Linked DNA regions of Drosophila melanogaster. The protein of the gene in region 3 interacts with the protein of the main gene of each other region in a pairwise test. Each region holds a gene or a part of one and is shown on either strand. Other genes may lie near its edges. The genes, in order: Vsx2, Dora, CG17826 and Arr1.

What was found.
Region 1: the proteins of CG17826 (region 3) and Vsx2 interact in a two-hybrid assay, tested with the Drosophila melanogaster proteins (one large-scale study listed by BioGRID).
Region 2: the proteins of CG17826 (region 3) and Dora interact in a two-hybrid assay, tested with the Drosophila melanogaster proteins (one large-scale study listed by BioGRID).
Region 4: the proteins of CG17826 (region 3) and Arr1 interact in a two-hybrid assay, tested with the Drosophila melanogaster proteins (one large-scale study listed by BioGRID).

Annotation. Positions count from the first base shown.
Region 1 is NC_004354.4:5,557,156-5,562,545, forward strand, and holds the start of Vsx2 (visual system homeobox 2), read right to left. Parts: upstream 3,029-5,390; 5' UTR 2,808-3,028; coding exon 2,255-2,807; intron 1-2,254.
Region 2 is NC_004354.4:18,861,976-18,866,967, forward strand, and holds the start of Dora (dorado), read left to right. Parts: upstream 1-1,974; 5' UTR 1,975-3,464; coding exon 3,465-3,744; intron 3,745-4,992. Other genes in the region: CG7326 (uncharacterized protein), read right to left, coding at 259-1,707. UniProt on the Drosophila melanogaster protein: Substrate recognition component of a SCF-like E3 ubiquitin-protein ligase complex that promotes target-directed microRNA degradation (TDMD), a process that mediates degradation of microRNAs (miRNAs).
Region 3 is NT_037436.4:11,948,008-11,953,013, reverse strand, and holds CG17826 (uncharacterized protein), read right to left. Parts: upstream 3,176-5,006; 5' UTR 3,142-3,175; coding exon 3,114-3,141; intron 3,056-3,113; coding exon 828-3,055; 3' UTR 789-827; downstream 1-788. Other genes in the region: obst-G (obstructor-G), read left to right, coding at 1-615; CG7252 (uncharacterized protein), read right to left, coding at 3,808-5,006.
Region 4 is NT_033779.5:18,076,705-18,082,205, reverse strand, and holds Arr1 (arrestin 1), read right to left. Parts: upstream 3,938-5,501; 5' UTR 3,819-3,937; coding exon 3,710-3,818; intron 3,558-3,709; exon of another isoform or gene 3,476-3,557; coding exon of another isoform or gene 3,409-3,475; intron 3,291-3,408; coding exon 2,483-3,290; intron 2,250-2,482; coding exon 2,120-2,249; intron 2,060-2,119; coding exon 2,012-2,059; 3' UTR 899-2,011; downstream 1-898. Other genes in the region: ninaD (neither inactivation nor afterpotential D), read right to left, coding at 51-353, 413-541. UniProt on the Drosophila melanogaster protein: Regulates photoreceptor cell deactivation. Arr1 and Arr2 proteins are mediators of rhodopsin inactivation and are essential for the termination of the phototransduction cascade.

The DNA.
Region 1 (5,390 bases), on a different chromosome or scaffold from region 3:
CGGTGTGGTGTGCGAAGAAAAAGCGCTTTTCTTATTGTCGTTGGGCAACCAATTTTCCGATTTGGGTTTTCCCTTCTGGTAAAAGATCAAAGGCACTTAATGGAGGGCGCCAAGTACTCAGCTCTGGACAGGAAATCCGTCCGAAATCCGGCCAGAAATTCGCTCGCGATTCGACCAAACCTGATGCGATTTTTTAATTGACGAGCTGGCCACGCAAATGGGTATAAAATCAACAACGGATACCCGAAATATTCGTACGACAACGAAGCGAGTTGAAAATATGCAAAATTAAATAGGATGACGCGAATGAAAAGCAGAAAGCACGGCTAAACAGAACAGAAGAAAATGGGGAGTGAACTAATAAGCACGACTACTGCATACCCTAAAACATATAAGCCTTTCCTAATTTATAAGCTTTTACCACAGGCAGACCACTTTCTCTATCTCTATTTATGAGCACGACTATTACATACCCTAGAATATATGCTTTTAGCGGAGGCAACCCACTCTCTCTCATCATCGCAGAGCAACTCGCCCTGTTTATTGCACCAAAACTAATGAGCACAACTATTACATACTACATACATTACCACTATTTATAAAACCTTAACTAATTGGTCATAGTTTAAATTGTAATCCCAGTCTGCTAGCCCATACTACCCATAACTATTTAGCAGCTAAGAGCAGTGCTCTTTCCCACATTTATTAAACGCAAATTACGACGAAACTGTGGAAATGGGCGATAAACGGATAGGAGTATTGTAATTAAAATAACGCATAAACATCGAGCCAAAAAGAAAGCCGCACAACATGCGAAATCAATAAAAAAAAAAATAATAATAATAAGACCCCAAAAAAAAGGGTCCGGAAGTGTAGGGGTAAACAGATTTGAAATCAAGAAATCAGATTCAATCTACTCATATATGTATCTACATATCCACATAAGTTGAGTGAGTGCGCAGTGAAATTGGCACAGTGAATCAGTTGCAGAGCAATGGAAATCGGTGATGACGATGATGATATTTCAACGCTAATTAAAATAATAATAACAATAATAACAGCTGCCACTTGAATCTGCAAGATTATCTGCAGAGCCTCGCACTTTTCACAGTGAAAGAAATTTGGCTAAACGCTTCAGGATTTTGTTATTAATGCCATTCCAGATATAGTTCACAAATCCAATGAGAAATATAACAATTTGAAGTGCTTATGTTGTTAATCAACTGCTTACTTCTGGCAGCCAGCAACTAGTTCCTAGTTTTTTACCGTGTATCCAATCCCTGCACGGCTTTTCATGCCTTTCTGTTTATCTGCCTTCACTGTCATCGCTCCAACTTCGTATGATATTGCCACTTGCAAATGAGCTTTGAATCGAGAGAGACAGCAGGTCGACTCGAGTTCACTGTTAGTGTGTGGGATTTTCTTGCAGTGTGCGTGTTTCATTGCCTGTGCTGATCGCCAAACAAAGGCGCACCTACAGTGGCACAAAAGCGACCAAAAACCTACTCGAAAAGCATACCAAGCTTATTATAAATTGATTCGGATTTCCACTGATTCTAGAATTTTATTTAAACAATATGAAAACTAACTATTGTCGTTAGTGTGCCCAAACTATTGCAACAATTGTGAAGCCCAGTTTTTGCTATGCTCAAACCAGAGTGCAACACACACACAAACACTCACACACACACATCCACACACAGTGCAATTAGCAGCTCAACTTGAGTGGTGGTGCTTTGGATTGGAGTGGCTTCGGAGGCGGATTGCCGGATTGCCGGATCGGTGGAGCGGTGGTGCGGATGCGGGCGTTGTGTCGTTTGCAGTGGGGCCAAAGCTGATTTGGCGGACGATGGACCGCTGATTAATTCCTTTTTTATGCTAACTAAGCGGCACTCCAGACACCGATTCGCCCCACTGTGTGTGCGTGTGCGTGTGAATCGAATGTATCTGTATCTGAATCTGAATCTGTAAATGTATCTGAGCATGTGTATATGTGCGCCTGTGTTGGTGTGTCTGGCAGGTGACAAAACCAGTTGCGATTGCTAATTGCGTTTAAGCTTTGATTGTCAGTGTAAATACATCGAACAAAAGATTTTTAAAATCGCTATAGCGAAATATATGTAAGTTAGCTACGGCACTTTTCAACTTTCCCATGTTCAGTATATGCATAAATGAAAAAAATATATATATCTGTGTTTTACTAACTGCAATTAACTGCAATTTGAGTGGTTCGCTGGCGGGGACATTGGCTTACCCTGCGCGTGCAGCAGCGGGTGGTGCGGATGGTGGGGGTGGTGGTGCTGCATCGGCGGCGGCGGCGGTGGCCCGCCAACGGCTCCGTGTGGGTGGTGCGGGTGGTGGTGTGGATGGTGCTGGTGCTGATGCTGATGATGATGGTGCACCGCCGCGGCCAGTTGGTGGGGCATAAAGGCCGCTGCCACCGCCGCATGGGCATTGAAGTAGGCCATTCGCGAGGCGGCCGCCATGGTCATTTGGTGGTGCTCCCTGTACTGATGGTGGTGCGGCTGGTGGTGCTGCTGCTCTTGTTGCTGCTGCTGCGGCTGCTGCTGTGGCTCCGAAACGCTCGTTAAATTGCCTTCGGCCGCATTTGTTGGTGTTGCTGCCGTAGCTGCTGATGTTGCTGCTGTTGCCATTGTGGCATTTGTTGTCTTTGGCGGCGTTGGCGTTTGGCGCTCTTTTGCCACCGTTGCACCGGCAGTTGTCGTCAGATCGGTTGGCGCTTCTGTGGCCGCCGCCACCGCCAAGCCCAGCAGCTCCTGAATGGCAAATGGCGAACGCTGCGGCATTTTCGATTGCTAATATTTCGATTTACGTCTAGATATTGCCGTTGTCAAAACAAATCGCTTGAAAACATCATGCAGTCCCAATTGAGAAACCCAGAAAACAAAAAAAAAAACAAAGCAAAGGCAAGTTTTGCAATGTTGTAAAGACTACGCGAAATGGGATTTGCGAATGGAGGTTTTGAGATTTTGCGCTGGCACGCGTCGCAGAAAAACACACAACAAATTCGCAATAATTTCCACGTTAAACTGTTGCCTGCGTTAATGTGCACCAGGAGTTTTGTCGTCGCAGTTGCTGTTTCTGTTTGCTGTTGCTGTTGCTGTCGTGCTGTTGCTGCCGTTATGTTGCTGCTGGTGGTTGGCTTTCGACTTGGCTTTGCATTTCGCTTTGGATTTGGCCAAGGAGGCATTCAGCTAACAAACGGTAAACGGCCAGCGGAGCTTTGCTCTTCCGAGGACCTCAAATCGCATGGCAAGCGCAGCAGCAACATTTGCAGCAGCAGCAGCAACACCAACAGCAGCAGCAACAGCAGTAACGGCGGCAACGGCGGCAAAAGCAGCGCGCCGACAGCGACGCTCGCGTCGACTGCGCTGCCCGGCAACGGTAAATATTCAGGGGCGGTCTCTGTCGCACGCTAGCCGCACTCTTCGCCGCTCAGCGAGTGCGAGGGAGTCAGCAGCATATGGGCCTTCCCCTCGGCAACATGGCGCATGTGCGACATCCATTCGCCGTTAGAGTGAGGAGAGCAGCAAGCGCCTTCCAAGCACCATCTAGCCGTGCTCTTCTCGCACACGCGTAACCTTCCAGTTTTCCCGCGAACTTCCAGTTCGGACCGAAACGCATTAGTGTTGGTGCGCTGCTTGCCGTTGTATTGGTGCCCGATTGCCACAGTGTGCGGCGCCCATTTTGTGTGAGTGAAAGAGAGCCAGAGAGCGCAAGAGTGGGAGAGGGCATGGTCAACAGGGCTGGGGTGGCGCAAAAAAAGGCGCAAGAAAACAACTATTTCGCAGACCCGAACTCGAACTCGGAACTCCAACCGCTCTCCGTTCAATGAAGGACGCCAATTTATGGCCCAAAAAACGAGCCACCATTCGGTTTCCAGCTGGTAGAAACTACTCACTTGTCGGCCGCCTAACAATGCCTTTCCCTTCCCCAAAAAAAAGGCAGTCTAATTAAAATTTTCGCCAAAAACTTGTACTATTGAAATGCGTAAATTAGCATTTACACCACGTCCTGTGTGCATGAGTGTGTGCGTGTGTGCCAGTGGGAGAGTCCTTGCTGCGCAGTTTTGCAGGATTTCAAGAGATTTTGGGGTCGTGCTATGTGGGTTATTGTTCTCGGAGAAATGTCCCGAAATTCGGCAAAATAATTCGGCTTGATTTCGGCAGCAGTCGAAAAGTAGAGCTTGTAATGGACTTGCAAATTACTGCTAGGCAATTGAGGGACTTACAATTAACTCGGTCCCGAAAGGGATCTCCTACAAAAGGCCATACACAGATAGAAAAAACGTGTTGATATTTAATTCTCAAAAAAATATATAAATATATTTTGTTACGCATCGATTATATTCTATATACACGCATTGATTTCTATTTAAAGAAAATAAAGACACCAGCAATTGGAAAGCCACGATCAGTGGCAGGCAAACGGGTCTTTTGGGGCTTTTCTCACGCCCCCACACAGTGAGCTCTGCCTATGGAGAAACCCACGCGGCAATTAGACAATTGAAATGCCAACGCTCACACGGCCATCGCAGCGAAATCGGAGCGGATCGAAACGAAACGGAATCACAGATCATATATATGTATATACATATATGTATGTAAGTATGTACATATCCGTCGGGCCACGCAGTCTGGCATTTGGAAATAAAAGAAAGAGAGGCAACGTGGTCGTGCGAGAGAGAAAGAGAGCGAGGGAGAGAGAGACGGGGGCAGGCTGCAGAAAGGAAGGCAGCGAACGAAGAGTGCGTGCTAGAAGAATTTCGCGGGTAATTCGATATTTTCTTAAGCAGGTTGCCCCCGGAATGATTATGATTCATTCATTGGGTATGCGAGCTCTTTAAGGCGAAATTCGTTTATTTACTGGAATTTGATTGTTAATTAACTTGCAATTACAATCGCCGGGGGATCCTGTCAAAATAAATATTGAATTTCGCCGATGATTATGGGTAATCCGATATTGATGATATAGTTTTACTCTATTTCGCTGAGAACCATATAGTTTTCACCTGGCCATTAACCATTGGTTACAGTTCAATGTTGGCGATTTCTTGTTTTATTTCTGCTTTTTTATTTTTACTAAATCCACTGGCATGTCCTGCGAGTTTCCAGGAACTCGGACCTGTGTGCTTTTGTTTTGCAAATATTTTGACGTGCCAACGAAGGACTGACAACCCAACTACCTGGCCAAAGTCCGGCTATATATTCATTCATATTCATTCATATATATATATATATATATATTTTTGAATACTTTGATACCGGGTGCCTTATTTCGTCTCGAGTTGCTCTTCACATTTCTGGTAGTTGACGTGGCCCGCCGAATGATTTAATTATGATCTCAAGTGCGAGAGTTTACCAAAATCG
Region 2 (4,992 bases), on a different chromosome or scaffold from region 3:
TTTGGCGTTATCAATTCCGCGTACTGTTAATTCATTCTAAGCGAATGTATAACGATAAACAAAAGCAAAGGATGTGAGGATTTGAATCAAAGGCATAGTAAAGTATTTTGGATGGAATTGATTATCAATCAAGGGCTAACTTTAAAAAAAAAATATCTTTGACAAATTATTGGGCCAAGTCCGTCTTTGTATAGTGAAAACAAGTAACATAGTTTCCGACATACAAGCTATGCTTGATTTTTGAATCGGATTGGGTCACTACTTGTCCTCCGGCGAGGCGGAGGTGGCCATTTTGGCGAAAGACCGCGGCGGAGTGGGGCTGCGTTTCTGCAGGGTACGCATGCCGAGCGAGTAAGCCGCCGTGTCCCCCGAAGCGGTGTCCGTATCCGAGTACTCGTCATCGCTCTCGCTGGCATGTCCTGCATCCGTCTCGTACGGATCCACCTCCTTCTGATACACGTTGCTCATTTGATCCGTAAACACATCCGAAGCGACGACCCCGCCGTCGTGTTGATCCTCGTTCTCATAAAAGAAGTACGACAACTGCAGGTGCTCCTCCGCACAGTTCGTGCTCAAGGCGTCCGGAATCAAGTGGCCATTCGTCTCGAGGCGCTTCTGAATCTTTAGGAACATGTTCGGTGATACATCCATTTGGGGCAGCGTCTGCTGCGCCTGCCACTTCTCCAGCAGCGGCGGATTGGCTCCAAAAACGCCGTAGTACAGCTTGCAGGCGCGAAAGCAGCGTAGTCGGTTCGAATTTGGGCGAATGCGACGCAGCACACGCAGCTGTGACTCCACCACGTGCAAAAACATGTATTGCTGATTTCGGTTGGGCAGCGAGGTGACCAGCACCGCACGACTGGTGTTCAAACAGAGCTGAGGCAACGGTTGAGGCCACAGCGAGTGCAGCAGACGCTTGAAAAGCTGCGTTAGCGTGGAGTTTTGGAAGAAGTGGCGATCGGGGGCATTTGTCGCCGCTCCTGCGGGACGCCAACGTACTGCATCAGCCCAGATGCGAGCGGCGGCGCCATCGAACATGGTCAGCCCCAAATAACGCATGCAGCGCTGGCAGTACAAGTGATCGTCGCGATTGAGCATGCACGAACTTTCTTCGTTAAAGTTGATGACCACATAGTTGAGGCCATAGAAAAGATCCGTTTCGGCGGGCACTAAGCTAATTGGTTGGGTCTTGCCCGCTGGTCCATGATTGTGGCAAAAGAACTCAGTGGGATCCACCAAGAGGCTGGGAAACTCCCTCAACCTGCGATAGCTTCGGCCTGCCACCAATTCCGCTCGGCAATCACGACAGTTGATAGTGATGGGCTCGTTCTCCTGGCAGGAGAGGAGTAGTGGCGCCAGAGGCACGTCCACAGCGCTTCCATCCACGCTGGCCAGATCAATCTGGTTGTAGTTGAAGCGGAAACTGATGTTCCTGCCACTGACCAAGAACGTGGACAGGCAGACAATGTCCATACCATACTGCGCGTGCCGGATGAGCATCAGCTTGTCGGAGTCCTCGCTGTCGCTTTCGGAGCTGGAATCCAAGTCGATTGCCTGATTCTTAGGTTTCTCGCTGATATAAACATTGTAGTCGCGGACGACGACGCGAGTCTTCTGGCTCTGCGAAACCTGTTGGTCGAATCGCAGGAAGACCACGCCGCTGCGTAGGTTCGGGCGCAGTTCGATGCACAGCCCGGCGATGGGCATCTTGACCAGTTCCTGGGAAAGCGCGAGAAGATTGTGAACACCACCAACAAAATGGGCCTATCGTTACTTATGGTTTTTCGATATTAAGAGCGTCACTCGACAAAAACTATCGATTGTCAAGAATGAATGTCAGTGTGACCGTCATTTGAAAACTGGGAAATCGTACGCGGAAAACCGATACTATTGACCTTATCGAATATTCAGCCGAAAATGATCGAAAACCCATATCGAGTGTGTGAGCACTATCGCTGACCACTAACACCAACAACGTTTAGGAGCAAAAGAGTCGACGATGCGATGGGTAAAAACAAAGCCCCGTGTAAAAGTGTCCGAAAACCGTGCGTAGCATCAAACAAATCGTAACTCGGCCAGCGAATCTAGGTGCCGTTGTTTTCGGGGACGCGTGTGCAGTGCCGTTTTAAGTGTCGGTAATCGCCAAAATCCACAAAAAATTTAAGGATTTTTTAAAAAAACGTTCGCTAAACGCATTTCGTTCGTTCACTCACACACACACGTAAACCTAACACACGCACAGACGCAGACAAACACAACGCGCAGCGCATATACACACACAAAGAAAAGAAGGCAGTGAAAATCGACAAGCGCACGCATGCACACACACACTGACAAGCACGCAGGCGAAAAAGTGTTGATATATATCCAATATATTGATGTTGTGTGCAACGTTGTTGTTGCTGCTGCTACTGCTGTGTGAGTGAGTGAGGGCGAGCGAGAAAGAGTGAGTGCGGTGCGCGCAGGATAAAGCGAAGATGAGCCACAAAGCGAAGGAGTGAAAAAATAATTAACGGCAAAGCGGACTGCAAAGCGCAGAGCGGATAAAAGAGGAGCGTTAACAACAATAACAACGACTGGGGGTCCCCTGCAAAATCAACAACAACAGCAAGAACCACATCAACAATAATAACAGAAGCAAGAACATCAACAACAAGAACTACAACTACAAATTGGCCCTCTTATTTCGGCAGTCGCATAGCATAGCCCCATCTCGCTCTCTCGTTCGTTGGGGGATACGAAAAAGTTCACATGCAACAACAACGACAACAAACAATAGCAGTCGCAGTCGACGCGGGCAGAGGCAGCGACAGAGACCGCGGCGCACTGAACGTATTTTGTACATATAAACAAAAATAGTTTTTAAACTCCCCAAAATCTAAATCTAAACCTAAAGTTAAGTCTAAAAGGGAAACTTAGAGCCCTAAGCATAAATCTACAGTTAATAAGTTAATTAAAAGCAAGCGAGTCCGGCAGTGTGCTTGAGTTTGAAAGGGGAGAACCGAAGGAGAGGAACACAGCGAGAGAGAAAAGAGGAAGAGAAGAACGCTCAAGAGAAATTCGCCTTTTACACGATTTTAAATTGAGCGTTTGGCAGAGATCCATTATACATATACATCCATCCAAAAAGAGAGGAGAGTAACAGTGAGAGAGACGGAGGAAGAGGAAGCTGAGGAAAACAAACAAACGGGGGAGCAGCTGAAGAAGAAGAACAAGAATCAGCTTCAGCAGTAGAAGGAGCAACTGTAAACACACACAATCTCAGCCTCACGCTGGCGAATCGCAACGGCGGCAACAACAACAGAGGAGGAGGAGGCGGCGGTAACAACAACAACAATGGAGGAGGCGGAGGAGCGGCTGCAGTCGGCGCTGGCGCCGAAGGAGCAGCAGGAGGCGGCGCAGGAGCCGGAGCGGCGGGCAGAGACGCTGCAGGAGCAGCGGCCAACGAATGGAATCCGGAGGAAATGGACCGCTTCAGCTTCGACGACTCCATCCGCTTCGAGGAAGACTCCCTCTGCAGCTGGAGCTCTGAACCGGAATCGCTGTGCAACAACTGGCGCGGCTGGAAGAAGCCCGCTGCAGGCAGCGGCGCAGGCAATGGCGGCTTGAGCGGCATGGGCGGTATGGCTGTGGCCGGCGGCTCAGGAGCACCGCCGTTCGGAGGAGCAGGAGCCTCTGGTTCCTGCACACCGGGCGGCAATGGAACGGCCATGGCCAACACATCCACCTGCGGCAGACATTATGGTGAGTAGCATCTCCTTGTTGCTAGGGCGGGATTTAGGGCAGTGTACCCGGACCATTGAGCATTACACCAGTGAAACTACAGTTGTGAAAATCACAGATACAAATCTAAACTGAAGAGAGCTTCTTAAAATCCGAAAAACATTGTACAACATTGACAGTTTTTAGAGTTCGAAAAGTGTGCGTCCTAAAGATATCAAAAAAGTATCCTCTTTTATTCAGGAATTAAGAAAGACTTTCTCATAAGAAGCTTTCATATGTCGCATACAAAAGATATTGACTTCCTTAATTGTTTTTAAAACCATAAGGCAACCAAAATAGTTTATACCTATAACTTTCCCTTTACAATGAGAAACTTACATGTACATTTTATACAGATTTATATCCGTATAGCGTTAAATAATCAATTACTTGCTACACAATTTACTTTTTAAGCTAAGTAGAGTGATATGCTTTAGTTCTATGTTTTACTAGCTTGGTCGCATTTGGCTATTTGCAATATGGCTACACTGTGCTGCCTGTAATTATACGCATGACCTTTTCGCTTTTGGTAAATTCTGTAAAATTGACTTAGGCACAACAACGAGCAGGCTGTAATTGTTGTTGCCCTCTGTCTGCAATTGTCTTCTTCGTTTCCCCGCATTTCCTCGAAGTCCTCTGCTTATCGCTGAAGTCAAAATCACGACTTTGGCTGCCAACGTTTTTTATTTTCATTCGTTTATACGAGTTTCCTTTTTACCTTTTTGTTGCGTCCCTTTGTCTTTCCCTGTGGCTCATTACGCTTGTGCATGTGGCTGGGGTATTGTTTTTTTTTTTTGTTTCGGGCCTGCCAAGAGACGTTCCTTACACGTTTTCTGTATCCTGTGCGCCGCCGCACAGCACTATCATCATGTAATATCTGGATATCTGGCTGCGACTGCGCAGTTCGTCCTCGTCGCTGTTTCTCTTTCGTATCCTCCATTCGTCTTCGTCATTTGCCCATCCACTGCATTCGTTTGCTTATTTTCCTTTGTTTGACTGAGCAGTGTTGCTGTGGGGGGAAACAGGACTATATTTGGAAGGGTCAAAGGACTAAACAGAGCGGCAAAGCCGCCAAAGAACCTCCAACCATTCAGTTGTCTTCTTTGTGGATTCTTTGATAGCCAGGGTTACCAGCTTGTTGATTTTATTGATATTTATTGATACTAAGCACTAGTATTACAAAATATAGTATATGTACTAGGCAAAACTAGCTGAACTTTGCTCAATCTT
Region 3 (5,006 bases):
GATGATCCTGACAATGTGGATTGCATTTTCGATGGCAAGGATAATATTGTTGACGACACGTCAAGTTCTGAAAGCGACGAAGACGATGATGAGGAAATGGCCAAAACTGATCCTCCCGTTACTGTCAAAGCGACGAAAAAGCCGCGTCCTACAACCCTTGACAAAATGTGTGCTGGCAAGAAGGATGGAGTGATGCTTACAAAGAACGGGTCCTGCCAGGAATATTATGTCTGCAAAGCAAAAAAGCCCCATCTGCGCTCTTGTCCTGACAAACAACATTTTAGTCCAACTCGTCGCATTTGCATGAAGGCCTCAGAAGCCAAGTGTTCGGGTGGAACCCGAGAAAATAAAGAATCAGATGGTCCTGCCACCACGGGAGGAGTGTGTTCAGATGAAAAGGAAAACTCTCTTGTTGCTCATCGCAGCGATTGTGGCAAGTTTATGCTCTGCAGCAACATGATGTTTTTGGTAATGGACTGCCCAACTGGCCTGCATTTCAATATAGCCACATCACGATGCGATTATCCCAAAATTGCAAAATGCCAGACGAAGCTAAATGAAAGCAAATCCAAGTCAAAGAAACCTGTGCGCAAGTCAAAAAAACGTCGATTCTAACTATATTTTTTTAAGACCCCAATAAAGTGCTTGAATTATAATAATTTTTAATAGTCCAAAGCCTAAACAGAGAAAATATAGCCACATCATATAGTACTAAAAATAAGGGGAATATTTTCTATTCTCTGCTTAGAATAAGTAGTTTTTATCTATAGAAAAACGAAAATCTTTTCGTTTAATACTCTGCTTTAAATATTGTTTATTGAAACCACTTAGCACTTAACATTATCGGGCCAATCGCAGGATTTGACCTGCAAATTGAACAAAAGTCCAGAGGAACAAGTGAAGTTCACCTCACACTCGCACTGGCAGACTACATAATTAGAACTACAATCTCCGCTGGCATCGGCGAACATGGTACCATCCCGCTGGCCAACGCATCGTCCGTGGCTCTCGCAATAAGTTCCCGAGGGTCCGGCAATCGGACCACTTGGCGGTGCAGATCCATCGTCGCATTGAACATTTTCGGGATAATCGCACTGCTCTATTATTGAATTGTATTGCAGGTTGTTGGAGCACCGCTGCTCATATTTGTTACCATTTACGCACTGGTAGAAGGCGGAGCAATTTTTCTCCACGGGCCAGATGGAATTGTTGGGCACATCGCAGCAGTCGGGATCGCAGGTTTTGGGAATGCACACATTCTCTGTGTCGACCTCGCATTCCTTCAGTGTGGTATTGAAGAACTGCGTAGCGGAGCACTTCCTGGCCACAAAGACTCCGTTTATGCACTGTAGGTATCCGGCGCAGTCCGCAGGATTCACCTTAACCTCATTCTCAGTGCATGTCGTTCCATTTCCGTTGCACTGACCATTATCCACATCGCAGACCTCTGACTGGCTGTTCCAGTAGTAACCACTGTCGCAGGACTTGGTCACATACTTGCCACCGGAACAGATCTCATACATGGTACAGTCGGCCAAGGGTTTTGTAGATCCCTCTTTACAATTGACACATATTCCCTCGTCGTCTTGTACACAAGTCTCCAGTGTGGCATTGAAGTAAGCTCCGTCGGCGCACTGCTTGCTCACCCAGTTACCGTTCGAGCAAGCCAAGTAGCCTGCGCAATTGGTGGGGTCCACCTTAAGTTCGCCATCAGTGCATGTCGTTCCATTTCCATTGCACTGACCATTATCCACATCGCAGACCTCTGATTGGCTGTTCCAGTAGTAACCACTGTCGCAGGACTTGGTCACATACTTGCCACCGGAACAGATCTCATACATGGTACAGTCGGCCAAGGGTTTTGTAGATCCCTCTTTACAATTGACACATATTCCCTCGTCGTCTTGTACACAAGTCTCCAGTGTGGCATTGAAGTAAGCTCCGTCGGCGCACTGCTTGCTCACCCAGTTACCGTTCGAGCAAGCCAAGTAGCCTGCGCAATTGGTGGGGTCCACCTTAAGTTCGCCATCAGTGCATGTCGTTCCATTTCCATTGCACTGACCATTATCCACATCGCAGACCTCTGATTGGCTGTTCCAGTAGTAACCACTGTCGCAGGACTTGGTCACATACTTGCCACCGGAACAGATCTCATACATGGTACAGTCGGCCAAGGGTTTTGTAGATCCCTCTTTACAATTGACACATATTCCCTCGTCGTCTTGTACACAAGTCTCCAGAGTGACATTGAAGTAAGCTCCGTCGGCGCACTGCTTGCTCACCCAGTTACCGTTCGAGCAAGCCAAGTAGCCTGCGCAATTGGTGGGGTCCACCTTAAGTTCGCCATCAGTGCATGTCGTTCCATTTCCATTGCACTGACCATTATCCACATCGCAGACCTCTGATTGGCTGTTCCAGTAGTAACCACTGTCGCAGGACTTGGTCACATACTTGCCACCGGAACAGATCTCATACATGGTACAGTCGGCCAAGGGTTTTGTAGATCCCTCTTTACAATTGACGCATATTCCCTCGTCGTCTTGTACACAAGTCTCCAGTATGGCATTGAAGTAAGCTCCGTCAGCGCACTGCTTGCTCACCCAGTTACCGTTCGAGCAAGCCAAGTAGCCTGCGCAATTGGTGGGGTCCACCTTAAGTTCGCCATCAGTGCATGTCGTTCCATTTCCGTTGCACACGCCGCAGGTATCTTCAACGCACCGATTTAGGGTCGAATTGAAGTAATCGCCATCTGGACAGGTCAGGATCACTATGATTCCGTCCACGCACTCTAAATAGCCGGCACAGTCATCTGGATTCGGTGTAATTTCTCCATCCACACAGGTTGGAGGTCTGCATTGACCATCATCCACGACACAGATATTTAACTCCGAATTCCAATAGGATCCGCTTGCACACGACTTGGATACAAATTCGCCGTGACAGCAGATCAGATACTTGGTACAATCATCCGCATCCACTTTTGTGTCGCCCTCCGAGCAGCACACAGCACTTGACGATCCCATAAAGAGGGAAATTATTAGGCACAGGGCCACTCCTGGGTAAAAACCGCGGATCAACAATCATCCTCCCAATTATCATTGCTCCGTCCTTACCATAGTGTTTAGTTCTGGATTGGGCCATCTTTGCACTCTGCGTATCGAATGCTCACTGATGAATCTTCGCTCGAAGATATCGCCTTTTATATTTACCGGCAATTAAAATAATTGAATGTCTCTTCCTGCATCAGAGCATGTGGCGGTGATAATGTCGAAACATCCGTGATACTATCAGCATATATATACAGTAGTAATACAAGCAATCGATATTGTCACTATTTATAAAACTCAGCGGTTCATTGTGAATCCGCGAAATCAAAGAGTCCAAAAGAAATTATTCTTCAGTTGCTATAAGATGCTCATATATGAGAAGTCTTAACGATCGATTGAAATTGAAATTTCAATGCGCCATAGTGCATATATGTATAAAGAAGAACAACTACTGATAGGTACTTACCTATGTGAACTAACTATTTTGAAGCTTTATATTGTGATAGCAGTGGTTGGACCAGCTACAAATTCCTACAGGAAACATACCCCTTCTTTATTAAAAAAAAAAAAATGGGTATTTATGTTCGATAAGCTCTTGCCAATCTCATTGAGTGCCGACACCTGTTGGCATATTCCCGCCACAAAACTGATTAAAATGATTTACTGATCCAATGTTTCATTAATAAATGGGCAGATTAGGCTACATCCTAGTAGTAGTAGTTGCTTTGATAATCACTTTCTTTATTTGCCAATCGGTCATTTAAAGAGTGCAGGTCACTTGGTTCTTATAATTGCAGGTCTGCAAGCTTTCGTCCCAATACAAGCCATCGGCGCACTCCATCTCGACCTCGCATTCACACTGGCAGACGACGTAATTGCTACAATTTGTGGTGGACTTTAAGTAGGTACCCTCACGTTGTCCCATGCAACGGCCATTACTCTCGCAGGCGATTCCCGAAGGTCCTGCATTGGGACCAGAGGGTGGGGTATACTCCCACGGGCAAACATAGTCCTGGGGGTATTCACATTCTTCGGTATTTGGGTTGTAGACCAAGTTGTTCGGACAATATTGCTCGACGGCGCAGTTGAAGTTACACTTGTAGAACATGTTGCACTTGCCTTCCACCGGAAAGAGTTCTCCCTCCGGCTGGTTTTGGCACACGGTGCTGGTGGTATTGCACTCCACCTTGGGCACATAGTTTTCAGGATAGTCGCACTGGTCTAAGGTGGCGTTGTAGACGAGGTCACCGTAACATTGAACCGCCGAGGAACCAATTGCGGATTTAGTGTCCTTAATCCAATCACACACTTGGGCCGTCTCGTTGAACTTCAGACCCTCGGAACAGGGCATCGCAATGGGGCACTGGCATTGGCAGACGAAGAATCCATTCGAATTGGGGTCCGCAATCATGTAGCCATCCCTCTTACCAGCGCATTCGCCCTGACTGGAGCAGGTGGTGCCCGATGGTCCCTCGATCTCAGTGGAGCCATCGGCGGTGGGGGTACAGTCCACATTCCACCAGTAATCGCAATCGTCTATCGCCGTGTTGAAGTACAGACCGGAGGGACACTGGAATTCCTCGGCACAACCATTGTTGCATTGGATGAACCTCACGCAGATCCCGGGCATATCTATATAGGTGCCAGTTTTCTGATTAACGCAATCCGTGCGGGAACTTTTGCAATACGAGGGCACCACACTTGGACTCGAAGGCGTGGTGTTGGAGGAGTTGTTGGGGTCATCGAAATCCGTTGTAGCATCCGTCGGCTCCGTGGAATCGGAGGGTTCCGTGGCTGAAGTGGTGGTATCCGGATCGCAGTCCTCGGTGACCGCCGTGGTAGTTTCATCGATATCGTCAATGGGATCCTGGCACTCCTCAGCACAGCAATCGCAGGTACACTGATCATCCACTTCGGCAAAGGCCGAGAGTCCCAAGCAATTAGCTCGCCACTGGAAGT
Region 4 (5,501 bases), on a different chromosome or scaffold from region 3:
GAAAACTTCTTTTAGACCAAATTGTTTTTTAATAACTGCTTATTTCCTACCAATGAAGGTAAATGTGGGGCGGTAATTAAATCCGTTTGCTTGCCGCCAGAGAGCTCCTCTTCCCAGAACCAAGTTCTTCTGGGGTTAAAGGTAACTGTGCCATTGTCGTGCCACTCAAGATCCATCTTCTTCCTCTCCTCTCGATAAACATAGGGTCCAAGTTGCGCGAAAATAGGTTTTACTCCATTAGCCTGCACATCTGCGGCATTTGTCCAGTTCCAAAGATACATGTAGACATACACCGGAATGGGCAGCTCCTCCCATTTTTCAAAAGTCTTTGAAGTGGGTGTCAACGGCAAGGCCTTTTTAATAAATCGATTAGTACTCCTCCTTAATTTTATTTTTATACACCGCCTCTCACCTTCATAATCCCTGAGTCTATAAAGCCAGGCCAGCATATTATGGCCAGGAGTCCGGAGACCGCGAAAAAGGTTCCCAGGCCGAAGACCCAGGCCTTTTGTTGGGTCACCCCACAGCAGCTGCAGCACATATTGAGAGACGAAACAAAGGCTTTCGAGCGACTGCAAAGTGGAAAAATATCGCTCGAGTTTTTATTCATGCGTCGCTTAGTAGATTATCCACTAGTAAATAAAGCAGCGGCTAATCATCATGTCTACTGTGGTAATCAGCTCGGTTTGGTTTGCTCAACTTATTCTGTGGGGTGATTGGGATCTAAGTGTGTGTTTAGAGTACCAAAAATCCTGATAAATGCAAAACGCTGCACTTAGTTTATTGAGAGTGCTGGCTAATCAGCCAGACTAGCAGTAGTAGCTATTTCATGCTGCCACGTACCAAATACCACTTGGTAACTAAATCAAATTTAACGATACATGGTACAATTTTATTTATAATAGTATATAAAAGTAATTAGGTACATTTTTATTTTAGGAATTAAGTTTCGTTTATCAGTTCTTAAGTTTTTAATAGCATGCCAGAGTGCTTCCTAATTCGCATTATAAATTAACTTGAAGCTAGTTGATTAAACTATTAATACGGTCAACTATTTTTGCCTTGACGCTCGCCCATCTTATCGGTTATATAGCATGTATGCTTAAATTAGTATTTGCAATGCAATTTTTATGGTCAGCCACTATAAAAGATCACTTCCAAAGACGGCAATCTAATCTTCCTTAATGAAATTCGATTAATCCCATTACGCAAAACCATTTTAAACTCATTACCCACCTGGTCTGCCGAAATGTTGGCAGCGTGATTGATCAGTATTTCAACCCTGACTATTGGAAAATTTTGATTAGAGTGGCGTTATCGTTAATATTGGGTGCTTATTAAAAGTGGGACTGCAAACATTCACAAATTAAATGGATGCGTTTGAAGTGTGTTCGCTTAAATTTTACGATTTCAAAGTCCAGCAAGAAGCTCACCATATTATATCAATTATTGTCCATTTTCCTTACTCGAATTCAGTTCAGTAAACTTCCTCCAGCATAGTGGCCAAGTATTAATTAGGCTGCTCCTCGGCTTTTCAGAGTAGCAATAATTGGAATTACTAAGCCACAAATGCAAGACCCACTATTAGTAATTGAATAGATTGCACTGGCTTCTGTTGATTTCCCCATTGCACTTCAATGTACATAATCAGCAGACATTGCAAGATATCAAATACTACGAAATGCCTTCGTAAGCACATTATTAAATATTTAGTGCGCATTCCATACAAACTTTCAATGCTGGAGCCTTTTCAAATACACCGTGCTAAATTCAATAGAATACTCCAAAATACATACATAAACTCTGTTCATATTTAATTGTTAGTTGAGTTATAAATATAATACACATACACACATACAATATATGGATATTGGATTTGCTATATAGGAAAAGTACGACGACTGCAGTTCAGAACATTTCAGCAACATCAGCATTTTTTAGGATCTACAAAAATCGGTTTGACTTGTAGAAATACGCCATTTTTTTCGTTGGTTGAGGTAGCCCTTTCAGTTTAGGCCTCAATGGAGCCCTCGGCTTCCAGTTGGGCCTTGCGACTTGGCTGTAAATAATTGATTGCCTTTCAATAACTATTCAAATATTTGGGCACACCTTTTATTACCTTCGGGTGCATCAGAATAAATGGTAGCTCAGCGCAGAGCTCGCCGCCCAGGGCTCCCAAGAAAAGCTTGACCTTCACAGCATATGAAACAATTATGCCAAAGGCATCCCTCGCATCCTGACTGGCAATACTGAAATAGAATTTTAAATATGCATTTTTCACTTAGTATTAGTATGCGTTTTATGCCATTTTGTAAACACATTTAGCTAAAGAACTGTTAGTCACCGGGAAAATACGATTTTTAAAAAGGTTCCTAACTTTAAAATTTGATTGATTTTATGGTATGATTTTAAGTTGATACTTAATAGAGTATAATATTAATGTTTCATCTGCTAAGCTATGATGTGAATAAATTTTACTCACAGTGTGGTCGAGGCCAGAGCTGTGTCTTTGCGCTTGATATCACCCTCAACGGCGATGCCTGCGCGGTCGCAATTGGCCACCAGGGTGGGCACCAGATACATGACCTTCTGCAGGCTGGATCCCGGGTTCAGGGGACATCCCTCGCTCGTCTCCATGAAGGCGATCGTGTTGCGGAACTGACCGTTCTGGAACAGGACCACATCGACGCCCTGCTGCACCATGGCCTTGATCTTCTTCACCACCTTGTTGGAGTTGTTGCGCACGCAGATGTTCACCGAGATCTTCTCGCCGTGATGGTACAGCTGCTTGTCGAGGGTGACCTCCAGTTCGAGCTCTCCGGGCGACAGAAGGAAGTCCTTGCGAACGACGGTGCAGGGCTGGATGCCCTGCTTGGTCGGTGCGTACTGCACCTTGCGGATGCCCAGGTTAATGGTGCTCCTGCGATGCGATCGATCGCAGTCGCTGTCTCCGGTAAAGATCTTTACGAAGTACTGGACTCCGCAGGGCTGGCTCTCGTCACTGGCCTTCTGCTGGAGAACCACCGAGGCCGGCGAGCTTGGTGGCATCTGCATCACGAAGGGATAGGCATTGGAGCCAAGCTTCTTCAGCAGACGCTCCTGCATCTTGGTCAACTGGATGTCCTGCTTCTGGGGTGGGCACACCTGCTGCGAGACCAGGGTCAGTTCCTTCTGGAACCGCAGACCGATCATCTCGTCGTCCTCGCGCCCATATCGGAAATTGCAGACCAACTGCACGAAGATCTTGCGGTTCTGGCGCACGTACTCATCGTCCAGCACAATGATTCCATCTGCAAGAGGACGCTTATTAATTGGAGAATATTATTTACAAGCGCCCAGCCTCTTGGTTTGCTTGCTCGCGTAATCGATGAACTTGGTTAGCTGCTAGCGCAGCCAATTTAACTTAACTCCCTGGGCTATTGAATTCAGATGCAATTTTGAATAACTCCCTGAGTTTATATTTGCTGGTCGGCATATGCAGATTCGAAATGGAGTTTTTATAATATAATTTTGATTTGATATCACTTTTCAAGGAAGGTATTAAAAATTCCAATGTGTTAAGTTGAAACAAAAGTTACACTGAAGTTATTTTCAAACTATAAGATACTTCAATCGAATATGGGTACCAATTCCTACACGAATTTATTTTTTGATGGATTTCCTCATTCGTAAATCCCATTGCTCAAGGGTTTCGGTCTGTGACACCTACCAATGGGTTCCACCTGAGTCACGGAATCTACAAAATCACGCCTGTTCATGTAGAGCGTGATCATGTTGTTCGGGGAACACTTCTTGAACACCTTGAAATTGACCACCATTTTGGAGCTGTTTATCAAAATCTCTGCGGAAATAGTTTAAACTTTGGATGTGCCTTTAACGTTTCGCGCTCGTTCTCGATGGTATACGCCGCGTTGCGTGGTCCACTAGGCTATTAATTAGCGCTCTTTGGCAATCCGGCATTTATACCTGGCATTGTGGCACCTGTCGCCCCTCTAAATTCAATTAGCCGCACAGCAGAAATTCAGCAATTGCACGGCGGTAAACTACTACGGCTTCGGCAACCTTGCTGTGCGCAGTGTCTTTGATATTGACATTGCAGCACGACATCGACATCGATGGCTCAAACATTAAATAACGCGCGAGCAACACGGCGTATTAGCAATGCAGGACAGGTGAATGTACAGAAATAGCTCGAGAAATCGATTTAGTATGCGTATTTTGGTTTGTTGTTTTCCGCCTAGGATGACGTATTTAAACCCAAACATTACGTGGTGGGTTTTGTTCTTTTCCATTTACGTAATTGTTGTTAATTTAATTGAGCCCTAAGCACTCGTCGGCTAAGTACTGATAAGCGGTTGTTTATTATGACATTTATAATAGCTTTATGTTAACTGGAGACAACTACTAGTTATAACAACGAGGTACTTAATAAATTCCAAGTATTCCAAGTATTTGCTTCGGAATTTTCAAAATAATTGGTGAAGGATCCCATTTCAAGCTAGATGTAATAATATTCTTCTTTGAATTATATTAAACATTTAAATCAATTTTTCCCAACGAATCTAGACGTTATGTGTATATATATAATGACACATAAGAACTTAAGCTTTACCAGTAACTGTCAGTTGAAGGACCTGCACATTCAATTATGTAAAAATATTCTATGCAAAGCTGCTGGCCCTCTCACCATTTGCCATTTCCATTTTGTGCTATGAAATCACATTAGCATAAAGTAGGCTACTTAACAAAGTCAATGAACGTAATAATTATACTCCTGACATTAAAAATATGAACAAAGTTGTGTGAAATATATTGTTCTTTATTGTGTGGTTGGGGACCGGACAGTCGAGCAAGTGGGGCGGAGTTTTCCACCAACTACATCCCCCCTTTTCGTGTGTGAAAATGTGGCGGGAAAGTGCGGGAAAGTGTCGGCGGACAGTCGCCAAGGGTCCAACAAAACCGACAATGAGGCCCTTAATAATAGCAAAACTTTTGCACTCACGACGTGTGGGCCAGTAGGAAAACGGCGCTGGTTATGGGCATGTCTCTCATTTAAATACATTACAAGTGAACTTTCCGGGAGGCATGGCCACGGTGTTGTCCTGAAAAATGGCAATATGTTACTAAATGAGGTGTTCTTAAGATTCTGTTAGAAAAGCGTTCAGAGTTTTTACATTCAATCCGTCTATAGGTCTAAACTCATATCAGAAATATGAGCACTTGTCTTAAAAGAGGACATTTTTTCTAGAAATACAATGCAAAGCTATATTATTGAGTGCATGGCTGACCTTCTAAGGACTTCTTTAAAGTGCAACGCGTTTAAAGCAAAAACTATTTAAGCTTTGTTTTTATCACACGGATACTTTGAAAACCCATCACCATCTCAAATTCATATGTGGTCTGTTGAACCATCCTTTATATGGCAGATTATAGCAATACAATAAAATTGCAAACGACCACAAAAGGTTGACTTTATTATTTGTGCGCAATTGAGCTAGCTG